2 linked regions of the Rattus norvegicus genome follow. The main gene of each other region encodes a partner of the protein of the gene in region 2 in a complex. Links are inferred from orthologs where the notes say so. Each region holds a gene or a part of one and is shown on either strand. Other genes may lie near its edges. The genes, in order: Eif3l and Eif3i.

What was found.
Region 1: Eif3i (region 2) and Eif3l share a complex: the UniProt entries of both Homo sapiens proteins name them as parts of the eukaryotic translation initiation factor 3 (eIF-3) complex. The link is inferred for Rattus norvegicus from reciprocal best matches to the Homo sapiens genes EIF3I and EIF3L.

What each region holds. Positions count from the first base shown.
Region 1 is NC_086025.1:112,535,745-112,539,569, reverse strand, and holds part of Eif3l (eukaryotic translation initiation factor 3 subunit L), read right to left. Parts: intron 1,421-3,825; coding exon 1,250-1,420; intron 1-1,249. UniProt on the Homo sapiens protein: Component of the eukaryotic translation initiation factor 3 (eIF-3) complex, which is required for several steps in the initiation of protein synthesis.
Region 2 is NC_086023.1:147,218,761-147,221,562, forward strand, and holds the end of Eif3i (eukaryotic translation initiation factor 3 subunit I), read right to left. Parts: intron 2,258-2,802; coding exon 2,147-2,257; intron 2,044-2,146; coding exon 1,954-2,043; intron 1,682-1,953; coding exon 1,608-1,681; intron 1,066-1,607; coding exon 973-1,065; intron 861-972; coding exon 779-860; 3' UTR 697-778; downstream 1-696. UniProt on the Homo sapiens protein: Component of the eukaryotic translation initiation factor 3 (eIF-3) complex, which is required for several steps in the initiation of protein synthesis.

The sequences.
Region 1 (3,825 bases), on a different chromosome or scaffold from region 2:
AGCATCTGTATCACACCCCCTTCACCCAAGACCACGGAGGAGGGGGGTCAGAGAGATTGTAAGGGCTCTGGAGCACAGTAGTGTCCCATGGCAGGGTCCCTGTGCATGAACTGACAGCAACTGTGGTTTGCTGCCAGTCAACATTCCTCCATGGATCAGGGAGGAGCTCAACAGCCCACACCCCTGGCTGAGGGGCCTTTAGCGGCTGATGGCTTCTGAGGGCCAGTTTTCAGTGTCTCCACACCCATGAGCATGTGGGAGCACAACTACTCCCTGGGCTATGAAATAGAAACGAGTAATAAAATAAAAATTAAGTAAACAAAAGATACAGAGTTAAGAGGGTTGGGGTCTGGGAGGAGTTAAGAGGGAGGAGTAGGGAGAGAACATGAAGATACTTTGCACACATGCATGAAAATCAAATGATTAGAAACAACATCACACTGTTTTAAAAAGACAGAACAGGCAGGGGTGGTGTTCCCGTAACCCCAGAGCCTGAGCTGCTGTGAACAGGGAGACAGTAGCAGGCCACAGCCATCAATGGAGTTCCTAAACAACAGCCCCTGTGACGCCTCTAGAAGGGAGAAGGCAGGCGGGGGTGTTCAGAGAAGAAGCTTATAAAAGACCGAAAAGAAATTACCGAGTCTATCTACAGCACAGCAGGGCACTATTTTATATCACTTTATAGCTACAAAGATCTAGGAGACCTGGGTGGTGGTGGAGCACACCTTTAATCCCAGCCCTCGGGAGACAGGCGGATCTGAGTTTGAGGCCAGACTGGTCTACAGAGCAAGATCTAGGACAGCCAAGACTACACAAAGAAATCTGTCTTGAAAAACTAAAAACCAAACCTACGAACTCAAAGGACAGGTTGAAAGTTTTCAACACAAACAAATGATAAATAGTTAAGGATGAGAAACACTAAGATTTTCTTTTGAGACAGGGTCTCTCTACATAGCCCTGGCTGTCCTGGAACTCACTCTGTAGACCAGGTTAGCCTCAAACTTAAAGATACACCTGTCTCCGCTTCCCATACACAAAGATTAAGATTGAAGGTTTGTGTCAGCAAACCCAGCTCTGATTTCTATCTCTCTTTTTAAAATCTAATTACCACATATCCCACAAATATACCCAATTTAAACTGTACTGAAGTGAGGTAGTTTAAGAGTAGCAAATTTTGGGTGGTGTTTATGGAGAACTGTTGGCACAGGTGCTGAGCAGTGGGCTGCCTGGTGAGACAGACTTCTCTTACCATTTCATACTTGTATGTGGTCCTCTGGAACATACTCTTGGTCCTCTGGATGTACAGGAGGATGTTGGCAAAGACGCGGATAGCATCCTGGTATCGACGCATCATTAAATATGCAAAACCAACATAATAGTAGGTGGTGACCTGGCACTCAGGCACACGGGAATACATGCTCTGCAAAGAAAGGTGGAAGCAGTAGCCATGAGTCCTGACTCATCCCAAACAGGGTGAAGTCATCAGGGCTCAGTGGCAGCAGAGGTAAGTGCCTTTCTGTGAGTCTGAAGACAGGCGGGTCTACATCAAGTTCCAGGACAGTCAAAGCTATACAGTGAGACCTGTCTCCAAAACATAAAGACAAACAGACAGACATTAAAAACCTAAGTGTCAAGAGAGGAGAAGGTGAGAAGCCATGGCAGGTGATGTTAAGATTCTGCTCTGTGTATTTACAGGTTGTTATCAATGTTCCTAAGGGATGGATGGTACCAGGCTTTGTATGTTTAAGTGGGCAATTATATCTTATCAATTGGGTCAAAGATTATTGTGTGTTCTTTTATGTGATGGTTTGAGTATAGGAAAGTGTGTGGCGGCAGGAGACTCTGGGCCACTGAGGAGTTGGGATGTGTTCCGCCAAGATATCTAGCAGATACGTTGGGCACCTTGGTGCAGGACCCAGCAAGGTAAAAGACACCTATACCTTTCTATTTTATATATTTTTACAACAACAGATGGAGAACCAATGTGATGGGCAAGAATCCACTAGTAATTTTAAGAGTTGAGAGAAAGTTTTTATTTTCCAAGAGGAGGCCAGCGCCATCTTAAGTCATGTGATATCTTAAGGGCGGGAATTCAAACAAAGAGAGGGGAAGCAGCCTGGGCTGGCAGACTGTCGGTCCCCTGCTGTGTGATATGTAATGGCAGCTCAGAGAGTTAAAGATTAAAAGCTGCTTTTTAAAGAAATTTGTTTAGAAAGTCTTTCAGGATACTCATATTCTTTTTAATTTGGGCTCCACGAGAATTCTGGGTTGAAATCCTAGTTAGACAAGCTACTTCTTAATTATAGGTATTATTAAAAGGTGATTAAATTTGTTTTTAGAAAGAAGAGAGTAAAGAGATTACCTGAATCAGGGGGAGAGTGAATGCAGACATGTATTATAGAAGTTATTAAGGTTAAATAAAAATATGTGGCTCCGGGTAGAGAGCTTAACAGATGGATATATTTTGGGCTAAAGTCCTGATTTTTAAGTTGCTTATTGGTTTTAGAATTGATAGAAGGTGTTTAAGTTTGTTTTAAAGAGAGTAAAGAGATTACCTGAATCACGTGGGGATTTTCATCTATGGTTCGGAACTTAGATAGGGAAAAATTGGTCACTAACTCCAAGTAGAGAGTTGTGATAATTGTCTGTAACACCAGGGAGAGTGAATGCAGACATATATTATAGAAATTATTGAGGTTAAATAAAAATATGTGGCTCCAGGTAGAGAGCTTGACAGATTGAGATATTTTGGGTTAAAGTCCTGGTTTGATATGTTCCTTATTGATATTGGAATTGATAGAAAGTATTTGGTTTGTTTTATGAATTACCCCGCTAAAGACCATATGGCTCGTTGATGCCGGCTAGCGAGGGTTTGTGGTTACTTTTGATAGTTAACACAACAGGAAGCTCGGATTCTCTTAACGTGGGCTCCACGGGAATTTTGGGTTAATTTCCTGATATCACAAAGTACAAAAGCCTATCAGGCTCATTGTTTAGCTTACTTCATTTTTAAAAAATTGTTTAGTCTTCATGATGGGTGTGACTTTGAGTTTTATGGTTAAATTATTACTCTGGGAGAGAGTGCAAGATACAAGCCTTTCTGGTTTCAGACTAAGGAACACAGTATTTTGGGAGAAAGATTTTTGTCTTTGTGCTTTTAAAAAGTGTTATCAGGCTCTGGAAACCTCACAGAGTCATACTGATCAGATTTGATAGAGGTAGGCCACCTGAAAAATTTATTCAGGAGAATCAAACTAAAAGATATCTCGATTCTAAATGTTTGTCTTGAGAGTTATATGTTACAGAGTGTGCCCACTTGGATTCCTGGTCTCAAGGACTTTCAGCTGGGTCCAGCCAGACACATCGGCTACAGCATTTGCTTCATTCTTCCTACCTCCCTACGCCCAAGGATATCTCAACGCCCATGTACAGCTTGAAGAAGTTATAGAGGAGTTGTCGCCCTAATTCCCTGGACTTTGTTGGGGCTGAAAGTGGTTATTCTAAAGTTGTTTTTATGAGGAATTTAAAATTGGTTGTAATTTAACAGCTAGATTGAATTGTACAGTCATAATCTCATTTGGTAACTAAGCTTAAATCATCTTTGTTTGGGTATAGAATTTATTTGTCAAAAAAGTTTAAAAGTACAAGGTTTAGAGCCAGTCCTTTTATTGTTGTCATTACAAACTTCTGAGTTGATTACACCTGTGAGTTAAGATTCAAATAGCAAAGTCATGGCTCTGAGTTTGTAAGAGTACTTTCAAGATAAAATTTAGGATATGGAGACAATAGTTCAGATTACCTTATATAGATAGATGGTTTTCAAAA
Region 2 (2,802 bases):
ACCCACATGGCAGCCCACAACTGTGTGTAACTCCTTCCAGGGGACATCCTCTTCTGGCCTTCATGGGCACCAGGCAAAACCACAACACATATGACATAGCGTGTTGCATGTGTATTATGTATGTGCTATGATACACAGGGGGGTCAGGTAGACAGTTTTCAAGTGTTGACTCTCTTTCAACATTTGGACCGGAGGGTTAAACCAGGTTACCAGGCTTGTGGGGTTACAGGCCGTTGTGAGCTGCCCAACATGGGTTTCCTATGCCCAACATAGGAAACCAAGAGCCACCCACGCCACACCCTCGATTCCTTGGTCATGGCTTTCTGTGGAGCCCCAGAACCTGTGTCTTCGGTGAAGTAATCCCCAGTTCCCCTGGAGATTTCCCTCCCTGCTGGGTTTCCTCACCTCTCTTCCTCCTCAGGCCCTTTCCTGTGCTGGTCACGCCCACCTGAGCCATCAATTAGGGATAAGAGGGTAGGGGGAAGGTTCTTTGCCCACAGCCTGGCTTCTTGAATGTGGTGCAGTGGTTCTAAGCCTCTTGGATAAAGATGTCTACCACACAGGTGAGCCCGAAGCATGCAGAGTCTGGGTGCCGAGAGAAGACTCCAATAATAAAAGTATTCTTTATGATCAGCCACTCGAGGCTCAGTGAAGAGGGAAAAATGGTCAGGCTGCACAAAACGTCTGACAAGGAACTATTTTTAACAAACTAATTTATTCTTCAGAGTCTAAAACCTTCTGTGAGCAGCTTCCCGATTGTGGAGAGAGATCCAGCCCCTCAGGCCTCAAACTCGAACTCGAAGTACTGAGGGTCGAAGTAGTGGATGCGGACATAGCCGTCTTCGCCACCGCTGCTGTAGCTGGAAAGAGACCGACAGTCAGCTGCTGCTGTGGGAGGGGAAGCCTGCGCAGCCACAAAGCAAATGGGCAGAGACCCCCGGCCGCTGGGCTGTTTCCTCAGTGGGGCCATACCTCTTGCCATCGGGATGGAAGGCAACACTGTTGATAGGTCCAAAGTGGCCCTTGACTCTTCCAAACTCTTCCTCAAAAGCCAAATGGAAGAACCTGGGGTAGGGGAGGGGGTAGAGGAGACCCAGTTATTCCAAAAGGCACCGAGGCAGCATTCTACAAAACGAAGACTACTGAGGTAGTATTTTATGTAACAAAATTAATAAAGTAGAGGAATTAGGATAAAGGAGACATAAGACGAAGCAAACTACGAAGGAAAACTATGCAAACATCTGCCTCAATACACAGCTGGCAGTGCTCTAAAGCTCTCATAATATTAATTCATTTACTTAACATGCACAAAGGTGCATTACTGAGGTGAGCAATGTCCCACTAAACAGTCGAGAATCCCGGATACGGAGAATGTCATCTAGGCCCCCAGGGTTCACGATCCCTGCTGTTGTTTACAAACAGGGTCCCCTGTAGCCCAGCAGAGCAAGGAGCTGAGCTAAAGCCAAGGATGACCTTGAGGCTGGTGTGAGGCGAGCGCCTTAGCCAGCTGTATGTGCAGCTGATTTCATGACCCCACCTGCTGCACTGGACATCTGTCACGTTCCCTTTGATCCTCAGTGGTCAGGAGTCTGCTTCCTTCCCCTTACCTGGCCTCAAACTTGCCAATCCTGGTGGAGGTTGTGGTCACATCCATGGCTTCCTGACCACCTCCCAGCACCACCTAAAGGGAAGAAAGATCAGGGCAGCCAGGACTTAGGTACAGGCCTGTCCTCTGCTTTTCTGCTTATAACATCTCTCCACACAGTGGGAGGATCGTCAGGGAGGGGGTGAGCGGCCACTTCAAGGACCTTCTGCCACAAATCAGTCAGCACTGTAACCATGGTAGGAGTTCCTTTCTACCTGACACCATTTTCCCCATCTTACAGCCTAATTGTTGGGCAAACATCCAGACCCTAGACGCTTTAGCAGGAGGCCTGGACAGGGTCTTCTTACATGGTCATAGTTGGGAGAGAGAGCAGCCGAGTTGACGGGACGTTCTGTTCGGAAAGTCTTCTGATGTTCAAGACTTGTGGAGTCGAAGAGCTGGGAGGGAGGGGGAGAACCTGTGATGGGCACCTTTCCCGGCAGGTCGAACCGGTTGAATATGCATCAGGAGGGCAAGTGACTAGACCCCTACCCAGCTCACCTTAGCTGTGTTGTCCTTGGATGCGGTGACAAACATGGTCATGTCTCTAGACAACTGGATGTCATTGATCTGCCGGGAGTGTTCCTTAACGTTCACCAATACCTCTCCAGACTGGAGGGGGAGGACCAGTTAGACCCACGTGCCCGAGTCCAAGCCGCCATTCCCCAGAAGCCCAAGACCAGCTGAACTTGACTTGACACCTTTCTTACCCTCAACCTAATCTCTGACCCCTAGTCCCTCCCGCAAGCCTTACTTTTGGTACTGAGCTTGACTGACTCCACGTACTCTGTCACTGAGCTCAACCCCTGGCTCTTTTTTTTTTTTGGTTCTTTTTTTTCGGAGCTGGGAACCGAACCCAGGGCCTTGTGCTTCCTAGGTAAGCGCTCTACCACTGAGCTAAATCCCCAACCCCCCCCCCCCCCCGGCTCTTTTTAATTAAAACAATTTTGTGGATGGGTGTGTGCCTGCATGTGTATATATACATGTGTCTGTGCCCACAGCTGAGAGGAGAGCCTTGAATCCCCTAGAACTGGAGTCACAGATAGCTGTGAACTGCCGAATGGGTGCTGGGAAAAGAACTCAGGTCCTCTGCCAGAGCAGCAAGTATTCTTAACCATCAAGTCATCTCTCCAGGCCCAGATGGCTTGCATTTTTTC